Linked DNA regions of Arabidopsis thaliana. The protein of the gene in region 1 interacts with the protein of each later gene in a pairwise test. Each region holds a gene or a part of one and is shown on either strand. Other genes may lie near its edges. The genes, in order: AT5G50010 and AT1G29950.

Region 1 (11,521 bases):
TAGCTTCTACTTTCTCTTACTGAAGAACCAGCAATTACGTCCTCCTCCTGTGCATTGCTTCTTGCTCCCCAGTTTCCATGCCTGGCTTCTGATCGAATTGTTGGCGCTCTCTCATTAGACCCGATTCTCATTTGGTCAATATCGATCTTGTGATGCGCTGTATCGCTGCCCTCTTCGTCATTTAAACGCTGCTGCAGTTTCATAACATCTTCATCGATGTCTAGATCGTCTTCCACCTTCTGGCGCCGTTCCTCCCTGTTTTCTTCATCTGCTTCTTCTGGTCGTTCCCATGTGGTAGCCAATGTAATATTCCTTGGAGGTTCTTCTTTGATGAACGCTCTGAAGTCATTCCTTGAGGGTTTAACTTTTGAGCAAAATGTCTCAAAAAAATTGTTTGAACACCCACGGTTATAAACGTTGATTCTATTGTCTGATCTGTACCGGAAATTCTCATAGGTCGTCTGAAAAATTGAAATGTTGGGTATCAGATAGGACACAATTTACACAACGCATACCCTGAGCAGAACAAAACTAACCTGGTTTGTGCTAATGAGGTACAAGTGAAACCCAGTAAGCCCTCCAACAAACCACAGGGAAATAAAGCAATATATCATCAGCATAACCGCCCAGGGTGATTCTCGCATTGCCCTCCACACAGTACCTTGATGGTTATCCATCAGAACCTTGATGTATAATGCCGACATCGAAAAAATGTAGATGCAGAGAATAGTTGCCGAAGAAACAAACATAAAGAAGTACCTATAGTTTCTCTGCCCACAACACACACAAAACAAAATGTCAAGATGGAAAATTAAAGTTCACAGTTTTGTCAACAACTAGAAAAACCAGATCCTCAAAATATGAAATCCTTTTATAGAAAATCCTGCACATTTTTCTGCTTATAAGAACTTATGAACTGCATATCTTCCCAGTTTAATATGCTTTTGAATCAGCTTACCACTCCAATGCATTGGCCTACCCAAGGGCAATGATGATCAAAGCGCTCAACACAGTTGTTGCAAATGGAACAATGGGAGCATCGAGGAGGCCGATAAAGCATGCATGTATCACAATATTTAACTCTAACAGAAACGCCATAAACCATGACTTCCTTCGTCCTAGGAATTTGAACAGTGGGTGTTTGTCTTCCATCACTTGATACAGTTGTATCATAGCATAGTTCTTCCTCTGGCGGATGCGAATTTCTTGGAACGATTCCAGGATCCCGCGCAGAAGTGAGGAAGAGAAGGATCAGTACCTATTAAGTATTTACATGATTTTAAAAAAAACATAAATGAAGGAAGAATAATAAACCTGCCCAAAAAAAGCATAATCCAAAAGCCACACAAAAAGTGACAACATTCAAAATAATACTTCAAACTTTATATCTAAGCTAGAGGAAAGAACATAACAAGAAACACAGTAAGATACATGTTATTGAGGTGTGATTTCAAAATTTTGGTAAGATTTTTAACTTATTGTCGTATAATTACAAGTGAATCATACTATAATGCATGTATATAATCAACATTCAAAACTTATAAAAGAGTTGATAAGATCCTATAATATCCCATGATAAGATTATAAGGTATACAAGATACATGTGAACAAGAAATCAAATATCAAATGGGCATTGGAGAAAACTTACAAAGACAGTAAATAGAACTCCTGCCACTAAGAACACATGTCCCGCATTGTTTGGTAAGAGCTCGCGGCGAAGATGTGTTGCAACAAATACAGAAAAGAAACAAACGGGAGTTATGATGAGCAGGAAGGTAAAAGGAATAGACCAAGCATCTGGCCCAAATATCAATCTCCCACCAAACAGAAACTTCTGCAAAAGACCAACAAAAGAGAAGATGATCATCATGTTCAGAATAAATACAGCATAGAGCATTGCATCAAAAGCTACATTCACAAGTGGTAATGGGTTCCATTGAACAAAATCTGACAATAGACTGATAGAGTTCACCAAAAATGCAAGTTCATGCTTGGAGAGTGAACCAATAGTGAATAGAAAGCTCATCAATGTTGTAAATATGGTGATGCATCAGCATGGAACCAAACCAAATCTAACAAATACGGTATATATGTTCAAACTTAGATCTTCGCAATGATAACAATAAATGACACTATCAACAGTGATAGAGTTGAAAAAGATTCGAAATTTAAAGCCACCAAATTCAACATATACAGTCGAATCCAATAAAGCTCACCAATGTAATCTAATTGAATATGATGATACTAATTTCTTCACACAAAAGTACAATTTCCCTCAAAAATGTCCACATTGTTCTCATCAAAACAACAAATCCACTCAGAACATTCTTCTCTGCAATTATTTTTCTTAAAACTAGGACAGTGAAGTCATAAAAATGTCGCCTTTAAGAAAACCTAAATGTAGATTCCAGAAAAGGGAAAAGAGTAAAGCGAAATCGAGACGCCTTAAGAAAGAAAAAGAAAAGCTTACATTACTTCCCTTCCAGGCTTCGAAGACCCGTCCAGCCATTAGAATCAGCGAACGGATCAGACACTCCTCGCTACACTCTCTGACGAATTGGAGGATCCTGAAAATTTTCTACGCCGATTCATTTCACATCAGAACTCCGCCCAAAACCTAAGTGTTGTCTCTCTAGCAACAAAATTCAGGTGGGTGAGAGTAATTTCCAAAACAAAATTGTAGTTTTTGTGTGGTGCGATCTCTTCTCTTCTCTTCTCTTCTCTTCTCTTCTCTTCTCTCTCTCACAAAAGGCGTTTCGTTTCTGGATTGTGTCTCCCGAGACGAACATTACAGTTTTGTTCCTTCATTTTTTTATTACGCATATAAAATTATTTTTGTAATGTTTTAAAAACCGGACCGGTCCGGTCCTGCAGACCAAGAATCGTTCATGTGGCTGAAATTGGGATGAACCGGTATCTGGTCCGGTTTCTAAAACATTTAGCTGCAAGATTTATTCTGAATGGCTAGAGACATGTATTCAAAACTTATAAACTGGATGGGACTACAGTATATCACATGTCACTAGTTCTATGCACAAAAGTCAGGAAATGACAAGTGATAAGAGTCTTAATCATGAAACAATAGGCAAAAATTGCTACCATATTGACAAAAGACTGCCAAATATCCCACCAAATCACATGTCTGTTTGGCACGAAAACAAACATCTTTAATCATTTGTAAAAAAGTTAAATTAATTGTGTGTTTACCATTATAATTGGCCTATCATTGAAAATGGTTATTCAACTTTCCCATTTATGATTCTCTCGGCCACACGACTCACAGATGAACAATAACAACCACACCGACAAAATCTTATAGAAAAAGAAGAAGCAACTACATGATATAACAAACAGCTAAACGACTGAAATTAAAATTTCGCAATCCATCTTAATCATCAACTAATATGAAATATTCAATTTGCATTTTAATATCAATTCCTTCTCTTGCAACTCCGAAACATTATTTGGTTTATCTTCCAACTAGCAACAACCTGATCCCTTTGTAGCTTGACAAGAGTACCACGGTCCAATATGTCTACTACTTTGTTTAGAAACCAAGTCCACTTGCCAATGCTAATATGTCTTAGGTATCCTACAAACAAAGAACCTCATGCTTCTCGATTTTTCGCTTCCATCTTCAATGATTTAAGGTAATCAATGGCTCTATCGATGACTAAGATCGGGTCCACCAGTTCCTCCCCGGGGACTACACTGCGCAAGAGGCTTACAGTCTCAAATATCTTCTCTTCTCCTATCTTGTTACTAGACAGCTTAGAACGTTTCAGAAAACTAATCCTTGTGTTGTCACAACTACCACAGCTCGATTCAGCGTCCCGCATACTCTCATTCGAGGTTTCGAGTATCTTTCTCTTTTTAGCATTTAATGGTTGTCCATAGCTTCCAAGAAATGTTTTTTGGTCCTCACGGCCTGATACTACAATGCTTGGGGAATGGTCTGCGCTTGTAACCTCATCTTCTTCAGAGCAATAACCACTCTCATCTTCAGAGTAAAGCAATGCATTTAGTTCTTCCGAATCCTCCTTCAAATCCGGTTCGCTATTTCCTTGCATTCCGTGACAAACAAACAAATCTTTGTTGCTTCTTTGGAGCTCTTCCTTCATATCAGGACAGGCATGCTGTTTTAGGGTCTCAAAAGATTTCCGTATATCGGAAGCGAGTAGCAAAGTCGTCTGATCTCCAGACTGATCAAACACTAGGAACCTCTTCTGACTACATTGTTCCTCAGCTTTAGATATAACACCGTCTACTTGAAGAGGTACTTGCTTCATACATTGGTTTTGAGGAGGCAAGAACTGCTGCTGTAGGTGGGATGACCCATGAACCCATCCACAATACCCATCAAAATAGGATTGAGAGACTTGGGTAGAAACTTGATAAGATCCACGAGTAGAAAACATGTCGGTGGTGTCGCCGCAGGTTTTAGATACTAAATTCAAGTCTTGCTTCCCGAGATGAGACAGAGCTAGGGAAGACAAGGAACACAAGCGCTGAGTAGGAAACCCAAACCCACGATCTTGTCCCATCCAACACTAAACAAATCAACTATCCAAAACAGAGGACATCATCATCTCAAACAAATCAGCTACTTATAATCAAGAATGGGAGGTCAAAAGATTATGTGTGCAAAGACTGGAACTTACCAACTAAATGGATAGAAGAAACTAGGCTTGAAACAAGAACGATAAGTATCGAGCTACTCTACGTGACGGGCTTCAACAATTGACGGAAATATTCAGCCTGCAAAATACACAACATCAAAGCTAAAACGAAATCAATAAAAAAAAGTTCTGGTGGTTTAAAAATCTAAATATATTGCAATAACATAAACTCATCAAACAAGAAAATAACCTGGCAATCTTGGAGAGGTTGAAAGCATGCAATGACTCTAACTACAATGTTTCCTGTGATACCGTGTTCGTGTTTGAGTGTACGAAATCTTGTCTGTCCCGCTGATTGACAAACCATAACTACTTTCTCCCCAACTGATTCCTTCTCCCAAAACAGAGTATCCAAACGAAGTCTTAAATAATTTGGCGGACAAAGTAAGGGAATGTGAAGAAAAAAGACGACCCCATTACATAAAAAAGCTATGTCTGAAGTAAGATCGCAGTTTACAGAATCACACGACAGAAGACTACTACTGTACGAAAAACATAAGCAGAAAGACACAACCACCACCGCATGCTGTTGCTTTGTTGCTCTTTCTTGTTTTATCTCTGGAGTCAATCTCACTACTTCAAATGAATCTGCAAAATAAACGAGAGCAATAGATTTAGTGCTAGCAAGAAACAGAACACTTTAAAACAAATAACTTAACCTAGAAAAATATGCACAATGCATATTATTACAGAGTTTATAAGTTCTATCTCGAAAACTGAAGATAATAGAAACTCACAAAAGTGGAATGCAAGAGAAGCAAATAGAAGTTCTAAGGAGGAAGCAGAGAGATATTAGTTTCAGTGATGGCGAAGAGAAGTTAGCGAGGAAGAAGATATATACAAGAGAAAAAGACGAAAGTGACCTTCATCATAACAGAGATGCGTGCGTGCGTTAAAGTTTAGGTATCGTGATGCCACAGTGTTTACCAAATCCGATAACAAATGTTTTTGGGAAAATTAGCTGAATTTGGTGGGTTCAAAATCTAAATAGTTGTTTATTTTTCTCGATGTAATTACTAATTAGTAAGATATACTCATAATCCATATTGTTGTTAACATGCTTTTTCGGCTTATTTATATTTGGCTAAAAGATATACATTTGCCCATTTGGTGGAAAAATAAATTATGCCAAATAGCTTGTTTTGGTTGGAAAGAAGAATCAGTCGACTTTCACTTTTCATCACATGTAAACAAATTCAGCTAACGGAATCTAGTATCTTTCAATTCCACCGAAACACAAATATCATTCACATAATATAAAAATGATCATCAATGAAGCTATACAAAAAAAAAAATCCATTTGAAGCCAAAGTATACTTACTTCATGCAATCATGTTTTATAAGACGCTCGCTTATGTATTTTGTTGGTTTCGTACTTTCGTTCATCGTCAGTAAGAAAAGTAGTGAAAGTATCCAATGTGAAGAAGAAGAAGGTCCAATCATTTCTCAAATACTCTCGTTTGCAATGGCTTGACCGTTCAAACCCCAAATCATTTCTACTTTTACTTTTTACCTTTTTGCACCCTCCATTTCCATCTTCTTTGGGTTTCACATTATGTTTTGTCTTCCCATTCTGGTTGGTCTATTTTCATATGGATCTCCAAAACACTTTCGTGGAAAATGTATCTATTGCACTTATAGTGAAAAAACGATGAAATATGTGACGATAAATATAACAAGAAGAAAGGAAAATCCTACAAGACAATTGATTGCTCTTCATCTTTTCTTTATTATAATCTCTTCCAAAATATGTATATTTTTCTATATATACTAAAGTGTTAAGAAAAAAAAACAAGCTTCATTATCATTATAAGACTTCCGTTTTCACTATAGAAGTAGGAACGGTACAAGTCATACTCACTGACTTATAAAAATACAAACAAATAATGATAACATAAGAACATTATTATTGAGATCATAATTTATGACCAATCCACAATAATTTATATTATGAAAATATAAATTCAATATTAGATACTGTAAGATAAGTTTCGAAGGACAAAAAAGGAGATAATTTCTATACAGAAACCCAAATGAACAACCTGCATCACCAAAAATTACCAAGTTAGCCAAAAAAAGTTTTTTTAGCTAGTTAGCCAATGACTTAATCGTATATTATCAATCATAAAACTTGATACCAAAATTATCTAAACCTAATTAATCCCCCAGAAGAAACAGACACGTTCTCTCTTGTCAGAAAATGGCACTGACTAGTAATAATTATACCCAAGATATTTTTCATTGACAATCAAAGACATCTGAAACTATATTCAATAGTGATAGATGTAGAAGACCCATGATTTAGTAACCTGAACCAAATCTTTGATGTACAGATAAGAGAGATCTGGTTGCTCACAATCATACAAGCAGAGTAACATTTAATATTACCACGCCAAATATTTAAGTTATACAAAAACCATTAGGATAATATTACTAATCCGTATAGTATATAAATTAGGATTAATTAAAAGTGGATACACTTAATCCTTACTGGCTTTAATGGTGTCAGGGGCCCAAAACAAACCCTCCACCGTTTCTCTCTTTCTGTGTGTCTCTAAAGCAATCATCATATCCTAGGTCCACCATTTTTATACACATAAAATAACACTCTTCTCATTTTGCGTGGTTAAAAAAAATACACATATATGAGATGTTTTTTTTTGATAAAGACACATATATGAGATGTTGATTTGCTATCTTTTATGTTCTTCAATTCAACAAATGTTCTCGAAAAATATGACATAATAAACTGGCTGAATATCAAGATCATAGTATAATGTGCTCCAAAATGTTGGACCGAGAGTACTTATATAACATCTATATAGTTTACATATATTCACAAAACGCATTAAAAATGCTACATATCACGACTTCAAGTCTTCTAGCATGACCGTGTTTTGTAATGGGTTTCAGAGAATATTGAAATTTAATTTCCTTCTGAGTAAAGGAAAACACGCATGGGAGATGAGTTCACATTCTTTAATTCTTAGATAAAGCAACTAAGTGGGTTTATAGTATAATTTAACTATTTAAGTACACGGAATTAGAGTTATAGTTGAGGAAGAGCTGATCATGTTAATTATTTTTAAATTTTAAATTAAAAAGAAATTTGTACACCTTAAAGGCGAAAATAAAATAAAATTGAGGAGCTTCTAATGGCCACTCCCAAATTTCAAAAGGTATTCATTTCCCATATTTTCGGCATAGAAATTCTAGCTTTTGTTTTATATTTGACCTTTTAATTTGATTTGGTTAATATGTAACGAACATGCGATTATACAATACATTTAAAATAAAAAAAAAAAGAGAAAAGAAGAAGAGCACCATTGTGTATATGCTTTATTTGAGAGAATATATATATTTAATATTGATCTCAAGAAGAATAGTGAAGGTTTTGGTAGGGACAACAGACAATGCATGGAGCCATTTGGTACGTGGATACGCCAACAAAATCATCCACGCTTCGTGCAATTTAAAGCAACCAATACACTTAACCACCACTCTAAGTTCCATTCCTCAATCTTCAAATCAATTGATTATCATATGTATCCCATACGTGTAAGCGTATGTGAAAATAGATTTGGTTCAATTTATAAAAAATAAAAAAGTCAAGAGACATGATTGGATCCACTTATCATTATACTCTATATGCTGACAATAGAACAATATTTTACATAGTATAACTCGGGAGTTGGTCGAGTTCATAGCATCAAAGCGTACTTCAAACACACACTGAGTTGTAACAAGCATGTCCAATTGTTTAGACATGCCACAACCGATATCTTCATGTCAATATCAAATCAAGATGAGAAAGATCGGCTTAGTTCTTCCTAATATCTTTTAACTTCGTAACATCAATTTATATTAGTAGTTTATCCATAGTATGTGAAACCAAGTTGGAAAGACCAAAATCAGAAGTATGATAAACTCCACATACGACGTCAAAAATGTAGATGTCGAAATTCACATACTAATATTTTTGTATTTAGGTTTACGAGGGAGCTCAAATCTTTGATGGGCCGAACATCCAGAGTAATGGGCCAAACTTTTGCACTCACTATTCTCGTCAATAAAATGGTTGGTACCAACACTTATTTTGATAATAAGTGATGATTATTGTTTTTGGAAATACAAAACAAAAAAGTATTTATTTTATGAAAGGAAAAAAAGAAATGTAAATACAGATACATTAGCGTCGAGGCAAGACCATGTGCTCACTCACATGCGGTCTTCTCTTCTCTTCTCATCTTCCCTTTTTATGATTTTCTTTTCCCATTTTCCTCTGCGTTTGATTATCTGAGAGAGAGAGAGAAGAAACTTGTTGAAACAAAATCAACAACAACTTATAGAAGACCAAAAAAAGATTCATAGGATCTTTTGCTTGACAATGAAAGAAGGAAAGGATGGGTTTGTTCGAGCAGATCAGATTGATCTAAAAAGCTTAGACGAGCAACTAGAGAGACACTTAAGCAGAGCTTTGACTTTAGAGAAGAACAAGAAGAAAGATGAAGAAGACACAACCGCCGTCGCCATCGGTGGCTCTGCTTCTTCTTCCCCTGTCACTCTAAACGGCGGCGGATTTGTTGGCAAGAGGAAACAGAGACTTGAGTGGGAGATCGATCCTTCTAAACTTATCATCAAGACTGTTCTTGCTCGTGGCACTTTTGGTACCGTTCATCGTGGTATCTACGACGGTCAAGATGTTGCCGGTTAGTCACTTTCCCGTCGTTCTAGCTTCCTTCTCTCATCGAAACCTTTCCCTTTCATTTTATATTATTAGTTTGTAACTGTGAAATAATGCTAAAGTCTTCAAGTTTAGTTTAAAGTCTCGAATTTAAGAATGGATTACTACATTTGTACTTGAAATGTCGGATCCGAAACAGGCTTTGTACTTGAATAGTTTAGTTCTGTGTTCGTGTTTTTTGACCATGAAACTTGTTAGATTGAAAAAAAGTTTGGATTTTTAAGATTAAAGTTGCTGAATTGTTTTGGATTTGAAGAGTTTTTTTCTTTAGAGGGTAGAAGCAAATCTTGTGATCTCCGTGAAGCCGACACGGGTTTTGCTATCATAAGTGTTTCTTCAGCTACTTGAAAGGTCTCTACTTGGATAATTATGATTCTTTTGCTTTGTGGATCTTTCATGTGATTCCAGCTGTTGTTGTCTCAATCTCTCTTTTTCATGAAATAAATTTTAAAGAAAAAAAGAGTGAATAATAGATCCCTTGAATGCAGTAACTAAAGAGCTTTTTTACTGTTATTAAATTTAAAGTGAAGAAATGAGCTAATCATTGTGGTGAAATTGAGCAGTGAAGTTGCTTGATTGGGGTGAAGAAGGTCATAGATCAGAAGCTGAGATTGTGTCTTTGAGAGCTGATTTTGCTCAGGAGGTTGCTGTTTGGCATAAATTGGATCATCCTAATGTCACCAAGGTTCATATTTCACTTCTGTTTACTTTTTACCATTGTTATATATTGAGGATATAAATAAGATTTGGGTCATCAATGAATGTATATTTTGCAGTTTATAGGAGCAACAATGGGTGCATCAGGGTTACAGTTGCAAACAGAGAGTGGTCCATTAGCTATGCCAAACAATATATGTTGTGTTGTTGTTGAATATCTTCCAGGTGGTGCTTTAAAATCTTACCTGATCAAGAACAGAAGAAGAAAACTAACATTTAAAATTGTTGTTCAGCTCGCTCTTGATCTCGCTAGAGGGTACATTATATTCTCCCTTCTTTCGCTGCCTTCTCAAGTCGTTTATCTGCTCTAATGGTTATTGTTATGTTGCTTTTAGGTTGAGTTACCTTCATTCGCAGAAGATTGTTCACCGAGATGTAAAGACAGAGAATATGTTGTTAGACAAAACCCGGACTGTTAAAATCGCAGATTTTGGAGTTGCGAGAGTTGAAGCATCTAACCCTAATGACATGACAGGAGAGACTGGCACACTTGGCTACATGGCGCCTGAGGTACTATAGTGATAATGCATCATCAAGATTGGTAACAAACCAACTTTTTATAACAAATAAACTTTGGCTGCAGGTTCTCAATGGAAACCCGTATAATCGAAAATGCGATGTATACAGTTTCGGGATCTGCTTATGGGAGATATATTGCTGTGACATGCCATACCCTGACCTTACTTTCTCTGAGGTCACTTCAGCCGTCGTCCGCCAGGTATGGTTGAATAGATTAAGCAAAGAAAAGTTAATTTAATTGAAATGTGCATATTGGTTGTTTCACAATTATATTTTGTTGTAAATCTTGAGGAATCACTGAAGTAAAAAATGTGATCTAGAGTAGTGTAACCATTTCATCATTTCACTGAAGTAAAAAATCTATATGCAATATGCTGCTACATATGATCAATGCAGAACCTGAGACCCGATATACCGAGGTGTTGCCCGAGCGCACTTGCAGCTGTGATGAAGCGATGTTGGGATGCAAATCCGGACAAGAGACCGGAGATGGATGAGGTTGTACCAATGTTGGAGAGTATTGACACAACCAAGGGAGGAGGGATGATTCCTAACGACCAGCAACAGGGTTGCCTATGCTTCCGAAGGAAACGTGGTCCTTAATTCCCAAAGACCAATCTAAGATCATTCAAAACTCAAGATTCGTGTCCTTGCTTCTTTTCTTTTTCTTTTTATAATCCAGAAGGAAAAAAAATGGGAAGGCTTGTTAGGGATCTAATGGTTGCTAAAATTTACGTAAAGAGTATGATTTGGTTTCCATATTCTTCAACATTTCTTGTTTTGCTCTATTTGTGAGAGTTGCTTATTAAATATTTATGGTCACGTATATCATCATCTCTAATCATATATTTGATATAGCTAG
Region 2 (12,474 bases), on another chromosome or scaffold:
ATCGGAATTTTGTAATTGCAGCTGCACCAGTACCAAGTCGTAGGACGAGCTCTCCCGACGGAGAAAGATGAGCAACCAAAGATTTACAGGATGAAGCTATGGGCAACGAACGAGGTTCTTGCCAAATCCAAGTTCTGGTTAGTTTAATTTTATCATAAATTCTCACCAATTTCATGATGTTTGAATCGTTGTGATATTGAATCGTTTCTTCATGTATGTGTTTTGAATTCAGGTACTACTTAAGGAGGCAAAAGAAGGTGAAGAAGAGTAATGGACAGATGCTAGCCATCAACGAGGTACTTGCTGTAGGATCTGAATTTGATTTGTTCTCGGTAGTAGTCTCTCAGAATTATGGAACATTTTTAGATATTTGGTCTTAACTTGATTGTGTAAAGTGTTTGTGATTCTGTAAAATATTTTGTCGTTCGTGTTGCTTGATTCTTAAAATGACTAATTGGTGTGACAGATCTTTGAGAAGAACCCAACAACGATCAAGAATTTTGGAATCTGGTTGAGATACCAGAGCCGTACAGGTTACCATAACATGTACAAAGAGTACCGTGACACTACTTTGAATGGAGCAGTGGAGCAAATGTACACTGAGATGGCGTCAAGACACAGAGTAAGGTTCCCTTGCATTCAGATTATTAAGACAGCAACAGTCCCAGCCTCTCTCTGCAAGAGGGAAAGCACGAAGCAGTTTCACAACAGCAAGATCAAGTTCCCGTTGGTCTTCAGGAAGGTTAGACCTCCCACCAGAAAGCTCAAGACTACCTTCAAGGCCAACAAGCCTAACTTGTTTATGTAGAACTAGAAGCTCTCTCATTTTTCTATCATAAATTCATAAGGTAATTGACTTTTCATACTTGTTGAGGGATCGAAGTTGCTGGTTTTGGCTTTTTAAAATTTTGTGGGTAGAATCTTGAAGTTTTATGATTCATTCTCTTGGTTTCGATTCTGGCTTTTCTTGTTCATTTTTATTAGTTAGGTTTCCCAATTGTCTGCGTTGATCCCCGTTCTAAAATTTGTTGGACATTGTAGATGTTTTCTTAATCCATGAATACGGTACGATTAGAGCTTAAACTAATATCCTCTTAAAAGAATGTAATTAGAATCTACCATGAAATGAACGAACAACGTGAAGAAGACTAGAGCTTTGGTTTAGACGACTCATATGAGACTACTAGCTCATTAGGACCAAACCCGGACGAACCAATCTAATCGGCTAAAGTGAGTGAACAATCTTTGGATGACTTTATCCCTCTTCTAAACAAAATCAGAAGACAGGCTAAAAAATTACAAAACAACTAAACCTATATGGGCCAAAAGCATATGGGCTTATTTAATACTTGTAGCAGCATTTTTCACACAGTTTAATATGTTACAAAATCTTTCATGACTTATCTTTCATAAAAAAGGGTGAACGACCTGTGTCCCCGTAGAAAGTTTCATATACGCTCATAATTCTACAGAATCCAGACTTCGACTCTAGTCCACACCAAATGAAAGTTCCAAACCTCAGTTCCACGGGTACAATAAACCAACGATAAACCACAAAATTCAAAATTTTGTGGACCGAGGATTTGAACTTTTGATTTAGGGGAACTGAGGTTTGGAACTTTCATTTGGTGTAGATTGGAGTCGAGGTCCGAATTCTGTGGAGTTGTGAGCGTATATGAAACTTCTCATGGGGACACAGGTCGTTCACCTGATAAAAAAAAATAAAAAATTGAAGAGTATTATAGTACTACATAATACTTTTTTCTTTCTGTTTTGATAAGATTTTGTTAAACTCAAAGATGACATCTATTCAAACAAAATATTTCGGTTTCATTAACCCATGACTGGATGTTGTAGAAAATAATAACAATTCATAATGTATAAAAAACAAAAGACAAAAAAAAAACATAATTCTTAAGACTCATAATTAACTAGTGATGATCACAAATGATCTACTAATTAAAATCTTGATTATGGATCATTTGTTATTATTCTCATCATGTCCTCTCTTGATCCTTGAAGCAGCTTCCTCGCACAGTTTCTCATAGAGCTCTTGATGCTTCTCCATCATCTTCTTCACCTCTTCGCGATCCTTCACGTCATTTGGATCCACTTTCCACCACGCATCCTCATTCATGGGCATCATCTCCGCCAATGCAGCCGTCTTCTTTAATTTGACTTCTTCCACCGTTATCTCCTCCACCAATCTATTGTATACTTTGCAAAGCTCTTGAATCTTCGCTTGCTGATGAGCATTCATGACCGATCGTTGCAACGATGATGAAGAAGACGACGAGGCCTCGCCGTTGAGAAACCGCTCTGCCACGGCTTGGAAGGACGGACTGCCGAATGTGTATGGTTTTCCAGAGCAAGAATACCCGAGAAACGCAACTTCAGCACCACAGAGAATGGAAAGCTCACTGAGTTTAGTGTAGATACCATTTCGACGCTTAGACAATGTGACCAATCTGTCTTCGTCTTTTTCAATTTTCTTGATGTTAATCCTTTGTTTTCCTTTGGTTTTCTTGGGTTTCATTTTGGAGAAAAACAAAATTATGAGTTTATTGGCTATAAAAAAATAAGAGAAATTTAAACTAAGTATTTGTTTGCTGTTTTTGGCTTTAGCCAAGGAATATGTTTTTTTTGTGGGTGCAAGATAGGGTTTATATAGATGGAAAAATGGTAGTAATTTAAATTGCATAAAAGTTAGTCAATTCTTAGATTAATGTTTGGAAGGTTGGTAATATTGATTATCCGCATAGTTATGGTTGATTGATAACAATTGTTAATGTTGGATGTAGAGACTTTGACTGGAAAAACTTTTTTTGTAAGGACTTTGACTATATAAATTTTTATAACCAATTGGTAAAAATTGTGATAGTCGAAACTACGATTTTAAATAACTATCAAATATGTGGGAAAACAGAAAATAAATCACAATGATTGTTTTAAAAATTATTTGACACACAATTAAGAAAATCCCTACAGTTTGGCTTGACAAACTTGACGTTACCACCAATTGGTATCACCATGATTGATTTAAGTGAAAATAGAGCAATCTTTAAAATGTGGGGAAATGCTATTGATCAAGTAGTATTTTTAAATGGTTATAAGATTTTCCCATGAATAATCTTGGCTTCACACAAAACATTCGATGTTTGTTTTAACTTTTTGATACAGAGGCGACTCTCACATACAGCGTCAGACCAAAAATACATAATGTTACGTGCTCTCAAGTCTAAACCATATACTCACTTTTCCTGAGCGTTTAGATTCTCCCATCTTCGTGAATGGTATGATGATCCTGCATCTCATAGTCAGTCATGAGCCAGACTCACTCGGCAACAACGATTAACCATACTACCAATCTGCCTCGGTCATCTCATTGGCCTAATGACCAAGCTAACTCGTATGCTAAGTTGGGGTTGGTCCAAGCGGTCCAAAATCTTGAAATGGCCAAACCTACACATTATTATACATACCGAAGATTAGCCAAATAGATTTACCAAAACAAATGCAAATAACACATTTGAAGTTCCGAAATCAGATAATCTAACTATATTTGTAAGTTAATGACAAAAAGTTTATACCCTCCAAAGCACTCTGCCTTGAATAAGACCGTAAGGTACAGTACCAAAGTTTCTTGAGTCTCGTGAGTTATGAGTATAGTCACCTTGAACAAAGACATGTCCTTTAGGAACCTAAAACCAAAAAAACATCGAAAGATCAATTCGCCATTAATCCAACAAACTAAACAATCCAAAGGAAATTGTAATATACACCAATAACACTAACGTTGCTAAAAGATTCAAAATTTTCCATGAATTGCAATCAGCTAAATCGAGCTCAATACTAATTAACAACTTGTTTCAACTCTGATCACTCAATTTCTCAACAATGTATCTACCTTCTTCAAACTCAGTTCTCTAAGTACAACATTCAAAAATCTCATCCATAAGCAAAACCAAAGTGAAGTGAAGTCAACAAGGAAGAAGGTTAAGTAACAAAACATACCACAATGGTTTGAGATTCATCACTCTTCCTTGAATCAATCACAAAGCTTATACAATCACCTTCAATACCAATAACTCTTTTAATTGGAGTCTTATTAGGGTTTTCTGGAGATCGTATCACAACTATATCTCCACGACTCGGTTTCTGATACCGCTTCGAGATTCTCTCCGCTAATAACACATTTCCCGAAGGATGAAGCGTCGGAGTCATGCTCGGACCATAAGCCTGCTCAAAAAGACTACATCTTTATGGTAAATTTTCAATAACGAATTCGATTTACACCAAAAAAGAAGAGAGATTTCGATTGACTCACATAAGCCATGAATCCGAGATAGTTTGTTGTTACATGAAGAAAGCAGTAGAGTTTCGCGAGTAACACGCCGCTTTTCATGGCTTCTCGTGAAGCTGTGTTCCAGAAAGACGACGACGGAGTCGCCATTGCCTATTTCTTCAACTGAATCCAACGAATCGAGATTTGAGAACTACACAAAGTCTGCAGATTTCACGAAAGTGTGAAGCTTTGAGACGAATCGTTGAGCTATACTGTGTAAAATAAAATGTAATCATAACCCAATTTATAAACCCGGTTATTTAATAACCCAGTTAATTTCCATCAGAAATTGAATTTTGGTTACGTATAGGACCCGTTTTATGGTATAAGCGTGACTTTTCAAAATGATGGCCCTTACATTGTTCAGTAGAAGGAAGACCAAATGTTTAAAACTATGTAGAAGCAAATACATAATGATAATTGTAGTTCATAGTCAAATGATTACAGTGAAAGTAAAACCATACAAATTAAAATCTCAAATCAAATCCACAAGTACTTGTTCAAACCTTGCTTCTTCATCGAAGCAGTAACACACAAAAAGCAAAATACATAGAGAGATTCAAACATAAAATAGATACCATCCTGCCAACAAAAGGAAGTGAGTATAGAGGGAGGAAAATAAAGAGAAAGGTCCAGATAGCGCTAGACCGATGATTTACCTCCCGAGAAACAATAGTGATGGAAGAACCGAATATCGGTAGCATTCAAGATTGGTTTGAGAAATGTCCAACGCCAAGTTTCTGAGCTTCGATTTTAAGTGACTTGAGATACTGAACAGCTTCATCAAGAACGCAAGCTGTATTCATCTGTTCTCCTCCAGGGACAATTCTCCTCAATACTCCCATCATCTTCTTCATCTTTTTACGTCCTTTCCCATCATTGTTACTACTACTAGCACTGCCCGATAAACTCTGCTTCCTTGAGTTGTTGTTGTTGTTGTTGTTGTAACCATAACTGGAACAACAAGATTCTGCTGTGGTGTTTCCATAATCCCTGGAAGAAGTACGAGCAGTGCTGACTTCTTCTGAATCACCACCATCCTCTTCACCTTCATTATCATCATTCTCTTCATAATCTTCATCTGCGCTCAAGAGAGCATCGATCTCATTTGGATCTTCTTGATAAGAAGAGGATACTTCTTGCTCATAGTTACCATAGTTACCATAACTTCCCCCAACATACTCGTTCTGAAACGTCGAAGCTAAATTGTTCAACGAAGGGGTATTCATGAGCTTATGAGTCAGCTCAGGATGGTACATCACTTGGCTGCGGTCATATGTTTGATCGAAGATGACAAAGTTCTTTGGACAGACCGCAGACGGTTGAAGTTCAACACCATGGTATGGCAACTTTGCACATGGTGGGAACAAAGCATCATAGGATGACCCTGATGCATACGGGTTGTGCATATTTCTGTCACCCACTTCATCTGAGAAGTGAGGAAACTGATTGTTCTGCATCAGAAAACCCGTGCAAACGTAAAAAAGGAAACGCAAAGAGAAAAACAAGTTGTACACCTCAAACTGCAAGCTGCTTGAATATTTTCTACTACCGATTTGTCGCCTTTGTAAGCTTCCAGCTGCTCAGTTACTACTACACTAAGTTGACACACGGAACCAAATGCTATATCAAGTTATGGCCATCATACTAAAGATATCACGAGTTTCCACCAGAGCCCTTACCCCCCAAACCAGAAGCTCCCCCACAGACAGCTCTTCAGAATACCAGACTCTTTAACAACTCACAGTAAATTTTTTCGAAATCAAAAGTAGATAGCCGCTCAAAACCCCAATTTCCGAAAACTCCAGACGCTAGACTACGTTACAGGCTTAAGCAACTGTCTGAAATATTCAGCCTGCAATGATTTATAAGAAAGGTTGAATATCAGAAAAACTATGGTTAATACTCTAACAAATAGCTATCCACATGTCATCAAGAGGATAGAGTTCTTTTAATGACATAAATCAGTGTTGCCTAAGCGATAGAAGTGTTAGGAAATACTAAATCAAAGAGAGGCATGTACCTGGCAAACTTGAACGGATTGGTAATTAGCAATGAAACATGTAGTCATCATAAAAGTTCCTATTTCCTTCAATGATCGGTTTCCCTTCTTGTTTCCAACAATGCACATTCTCACAAACTAACCAGTATAATAAGCACAACAACAAAGAACTATTCCGAATTCCGGAAACAACACCTGCAAAACAAGGAAGAGATGCCAATAGTTTTAACACAAGAAGCTGTATATAAGGTGGCAACAACAAAATTTGCTTCCACAAGGTACCAATGTAAGACAAAAACACAAGATGTGAAATGAGAGGCTGGCTCACCTGAAAGGAACAAAATTACAGAATAACGAGGAAAAAGACAACCAGACGAGTGCAAGTTCTGTTGAAAAACATGAAGAATGCTGTCCAGGGCATCTTTGGTTCTTCCAATATCAAATTTGTAAGTGTATTAAATACCGTTCCTCTTCTCACAAACTCTGCACAAACAAACAAAAATTAGGACCAACGCTATTCAAATACTAATATATTTTCAGTATAGGAAGTTGAAAGGCACTAACTTCGAGGTAGAATCCTAAAATAACTACTGGCAAAACAAAACAGAGAAACAAAAAAATGGGAAATTTCTAATTCCTGATTCAGATAATAAAAAAGCACAACTTTAGGCATCTGCGTACAACAAACAAAAAGATAGGATCATGACTAAAGACATTAACATCGGATCCAGAATAAATGTTTTTCGATTTCATGATCACAAACCAAAATCAAAATAACTTAACAACTCTGCTTCAAAACAGAACACATAGAGGAAACAAAACCTCAACAAAAGAATTGGACTTGTTAAAAGAAAGAATCTTTACGCGATCATGAATAGTTTATTAATAATAACACAAACAAACATAAACAAGACAGAACATTCAATAGAAAAATCAAATTCAGCAATCATCTGATAAACCATAAAATAGCTATTTATGAGATACCGTCAAAGTACTAATTACAAGACAAAGAAAAAACATATAAGTCCTAATAAGTCAGAAATTGCGGCGGTATAAAGAAAGAAAGAAGCAGAAAACATTCATACCGTAGAAGAAATCAAAAACCCTTTGGATCAAATGAATCGGTGATGCGTAAAAACTAAAGCTTTAGAAGAATCTGATCAAATTCGAAAGAGTGATTTTTTTGTTTTGTTGTTACAGAGGAGAAGAAGAAGAAGATCTAAAGAGAGAATGATGTGTGTGGCAAAAAGAGAGAGAGAAGGGAAGGGTAGAGAAATAAGGAGAAGAGAGCGAGCGAGCGTGGCTTTCTTTTTCTGGTGCGGTTTGTTTTTTTTCGTTTGGTTTGCCCATTTTCATTTCTTTAATCACTCACTCACACACACTACACTAGTCACTACACAAACAAACATTGTTTAAAGTTAATAATTTCGTTTCACGCTTTTCGTGCGTGAATCTACTTGTTTTGTTTTTTCAAATGTGGAGCAAAAAGATGTTTAACTTTACCGCAAATTTTTGGAATTTTCAAAAAAAAAAAATGCACTCCTATTAATTTGATTCATCCAAGATAAAAAGGTAAAAAGCTTGGACAAAATATGTCTTTTTACTTGTTAGATTAGATAAAAAAAAATCTTGGAGTAGAAAGATGACACATTTTTATTAGTAGTGTTATTTAAATCCAACAAAGTATAAGAGTGTCGTGATACCTATATTGTTTCTTAACTTTTTCTCAAACAAAATATTTGTTTCTTAATCTTTTCATAATGTTCAGTTTCTTTAATCTGTTTCTTTCGGCATAAGTAATTCTTTAACTATTTCACTATCTAACTATAAAAGTGGATATTACTATTACAGTAGAAACTCTATAAATTAATACTCGATAAATTAATAAACACGGTAAATTAATAAATTTTGTAGGTTCCAAGTTGTGCCAATATAAAAATTAACCAAAATCAATAAAATAATAAGATAATCATTTTTTTAAAATTCCTATGTAAAATTATAGTCCCAATAATATTATAAATTAATAATTATAGATCTTAAATATATATTTTAAGACTAATTTTTATATGAAATTTTTGTTCAAGCTATAATTACAACTCTTTTTAAAATACAACTGATATGATCTCTGTTGTACTCACATAACTATTTGCGTATTTGATCCGTCATAGTTGATTTTATAAAATCTTTTATTTGAGAAAGCATTACTATGATTTGTGTAAAGAGAAACTGGATTAACTTTCATGTTTACGTTTACGTTCACGTTAATGTCGTAGATATACAAATACAAATCTTACCGAAAATAAATTAAAGAAGTCAAATTAAAATAAAAACCTAACATAATTATATATGCAAACAACAAAGCATATAGAAAATTACATTAAGAAATATTTTTAAAAGAATATAGTATCGTACTTTACGTAAATATTTCTATAAATTAATATTTATTAACTTATACGGTAAATTAATATATATTAATTTAGAGGATAAATTAATATCACTATAAATTAATAAAATTTTATGGCTCACCATTATTAATTTATAGAGTTTTTACTGTATCTAGTAAAATTTACTAAATCACTCTATTTGACCGGTGTCATGCTTTAGATTAGGTCTATTAAAAAACTCATGTATATCACTATGTAAGTGGATAGTAAAAACTCAAACAACTTCTCTTTAGGAAAAAAGAATTACTGTATGTAGAAAATATGTTATCCATTTCTGTAAAGATGGAACACACTATGATTACAGTGTTTAACCCATGTATATCACTATGTAAGTGGATTTTCTTGAATGAAAAGTTTTTTAAAACATAAAAATAAAATAGATGTTATGATAAAATAATAAATAGTGGAAATTAAATGGAAAAAAAAAAACAAGAAGAGGGAGCACGCGTGAGGGGATGGACAGAAGAGAGTCAAACAAGGGAAAGTGTGAGCCGTTGGATGAAACAATCACAAATGGTTTCCGTTTAATGCGGCCTTGATCGTGACCGTTGGTTTGGTTGCTCCTTTAGCACGCGTGAAAAGCTTTTGTGGACCTCTATAGCTCCCACCAAAAAACCAAACTCTCTCTTCTTTGACAATTTTTATTTGTAGTTTTAGAGACGACACAGTGACACACTCTTCTCTCTCTTTGGGCTCTTGTCCCAACCCCATACTTGTTCCAAAGAATATTACTTATTATTTCCAAACCAAACTCATCATTCTTGTCTCTTCACTTTCAGCTGTAATTTTAAGTTTATGTTGGCATGCGTATGCTTGGTAATATTTTTTTATTATTTGATTGGTAAGCGACAAACAACAAGTAAGAATATTTGGTGAGAAAAATAAAAGTAGATATTTGGCAATAAGTAACTAAGGTTTAAAATTAAATAATATATACGAATCGTGTGGGTTTAATTTAAATCATGATTATGGACAGCATTAGTTTCAAAGGAAACCATTCCACACATTGCGAAATAGTTAATCTCATGATGCTGCTTCTTTCTAAATCCATCATTATGTTTCTGTTAAAACTCATTCGATTGAAGTACTGGATGTTTGTTCCAAGTCTTAGTGGAAAAAAAAAGTCTTGTTAAAAGAATCGAGACAATGCAACTAATATTGTACACAAACACCAAACCGTTTCTGAAGCATTGTTATGGATGGCAAAAGTGTTCTTCAACACTTCAACGGAGGTCAAACCTGTTCCTTTTCTGCCTTGTTTAGGGAAAAAATATTCTAAAGCGAAAAGCATTTTTGGTATGAGAATATCCAAGTGCCAAGTGAGAAGATTCAAAGAAAAGTTTAGACGAAAAGCAAATGAATGGAATAAAAAAATATCAATTATAACGGAGTGTTGTTATGTAACTTTGTTAACAGTTGTAAGTAATTTGTAAAACAAACCAAGAGACAAAAGTTTATTTGTAAGGTATAAATTTTTTTTACTGGAAGGTAAAAAAAATGTGTTACACACCAAGTGCTTGAGTGTGGTTTTTAAAAAATGTGTTACAAAGTCATCAATATTCTTGTTGGTACCTTGTTTGCCTTTTGCTTATAACAATTGTCGAGTGTCGAAATGTAAGGGAAATGAAACTTTAGTGTTTTGGGAATGATCTTTGGTATTGGCAACAGACCATTTATAGTGACAAATATCCATTAGTGTTGAGGAATGTCCTTAAGTGCTAACGAAAACGCGTATTAGTGTTGAAGAAAATCTTTCAATGCTGACATAAGACATTTAGTGTTCACGGAAGGCCTTGTTAGTGCTATGGATGGAAAATGCTCTTATTTCTCGTAATATGAAAACTTGCTGCTACTGAAGAAATTGATCTTGATGACTAATTTCTAACTATTATATCACCTTACATTCTCAGAAGTTAAAAATAAAATGCATAAACTTTTTCAAATACAATCAGAATCGGTCAATCCGGTGACCGAAATCAATTATGATGTTTTTGAGAGTTCTGATTGAATTTTCAAAATCTACATCACTAGTTGGATAAAGGTGATTTTGATGGCTACCTTGTGATCATCATATCATCTGATACTCTTACTAGTTGGAAGCCAAAGATATAAACTCTCAAATACAAACGGAATCAGTCAAATCATATGGTCGAATAATAAATTATTATGTTTTGACACACCAAAGCCTAGCTACATGTACACTTGAGTTTATGTTGGTGAACGTCTTGATCACAAAATCTCACATACACAACATTGATGTCCAGCGTTAATGCGTTATACCCTTCTAGAGATCTAATTGGTGACACAAAATCTCACGTAGTGTAAGTCAGCAGAATGAATGCGTTTCAGAGCTAAGATCTTACATGTTCAAGCCAATGCTTTCGAGGAACGGTTTTTGTAGATCCAAGAAAGGAATAGAAGCTTTTATATATATGTCCAGACAAAAATATTGGATTTTAATTAACTATATATATATATATATATATTATGATCAAAATGGATAACTATAACTTATGCATGACAAAATAGATTCACAAGAGTAAGATACGTTTTTCTAAACTAGTACAGTATTTATGAGTTCTACAATATTATGCGAGCCATTGCAAGGTACAACATTACATACTAGTCTTACTGCATTTAAATGGTTTGGATGTGTATATCATTATGTTTATTGCATAATTTGATCATTTTGGATAGCTATGAATCGGCATTAGATTCATGTTAGCATTTGGATTACAACATAATTTTGGAATTGTGATATTTCAACGTTGGTATCATATTCGTAAAGGTATGATTATTGTAGAAAATATGAGATCTTATATAGATATCCTGATCCTCTCATTGTTGTTTCTAATGGGATGGAGATCCAACGTTGAATATGAGACTATGCTTCACACACAACACACAACTCACGACTCACGCAAAATATACTTACCCTTCTCCTATCGTAAATACTGTCCGACTAGTCACATAACATTTTTCAAACTTGCACGTCGAAAATTTTTCGAGGAAAAATCTATTGTTGTCTTCCCAAGGATCATCCAAACCATATAATTGCCTCATTGATGCATCTCCCAAACCAGAAGCTAAGAAAAAGGACCCGGATCGAAAGTTTTAGTTAATTTTGTTTTATAACGGTCAAATTGTCTGATCGCGCTCATCCATAAGACCATAACCATAATCCAACATACACGACATTCCCCAAACGAAAAATCTTCGGCATAATTCAACCACTCGGTGGATCCCAAAAAATCAGTTTCGAACAGTATGTATAGATACACACTTTTAAACTTATATCTTGCAAAACAAACAAACACATCATCCAATATATCATCAATACACGAAAGTTTCACTTAACTAGCTTTAGTAGCAAATCAATTTTGCTCTTTTTAAAAATGTGATATAATAGTATTTTTATTTTATACCTGTTCGATCTTGATTAACGTTGTTTTAGTGAGCTTAAACACCAAATATCGTTAAGGTTCAATAGAGAAATTCACCAAAAAATAGTAAAAATCCGTATCCAATCTCGTTCGAAAAATTATTAAGAATTAAGGGTTCGAAATATAAACATTTTAAAGATGAGGATTATATCTGCAATAAACTTGAAAGTTATCGACAACCAGTAAAACCCAAACTCAATAAACTCCTAAAACCCTTTCCCTTTTTTCTCGCGCCGCCTT

What was found.
Region 2: the proteins of AT5G50010 (region 1) and AT1G29950 interact in binary tests that used the Arabidopsis thaliana proteins (3 or more experiments, as listed by UniProt).

What each region holds. Positions count from the first base shown.
Region 1 is NC_003076.8:20,342,579-20,354,099, reverse strand, and holds AT5G50010 (transcription factor bHLH145), read right to left. Parts: upstream 5,486-11,521; 5' UTR 5,417-5,485; intron 5,268-5,416; 5' UTR 4,870-5,267; intron 4,759-4,869; 5' UTR 4,662-4,758; intron 4,564-4,661; 5' UTR 4,545-4,563; coding exon 3,609-4,544; 3' UTR 3,270-3,608; downstream 1-3,269. Other genes in the region: AT5G50020 (DHHC-type zinc finger family protein), read right to left, coding at 1-461, 537-770, 959-1,258, 1,649-1,834, 2,471-2,567, 2,859-2,890; AT5G50000 (Protein kinase superfamily protein), read left to right, coding at 9,067-9,388, 9,987-10,108, 10,200-10,396, 10,476-10,650, 10,724-10,858, 11,056-11,262.
Region 2 is NC_003070.9:10,486,792-10,499,265, reverse strand, and holds AT1G29950 (basic helix-loop-helix (bHLH) DNA-binding superfamily protein), read right to left. Parts: upstream 7,569-12,474; 5' UTR 7,433-7,568; intron 7,292-7,432; exon of another isoform or gene 6,912-7,291; intron 6,831-6,911; 5' UTR 6,369-6,830; intron 6,201-6,368; 5' UTR 5,806-6,200; coding exon 5,050-5,805; 3' UTR 4,668-5,049; downstream 1-4,667. Other genes in the region: AT1G29965 (Ribosomal protein L18ae/LX family protein), read left to right, coding at 22-137, 233-296, 467-808; RPL18AA (60S ribosomal protein L18A-1), read left to right, coding at 22-137, 233-296, 467-808; AGL64 (AGAMOUS-like 64), read right to left, coding at 1,979-2,536; AT1G29960 (Peptidase S24/S26A/S26B/S26C family protein), read right to left, coding at 3,415-3,462, 3,591-3,701, 4,015-4,239, 4,328-4,453.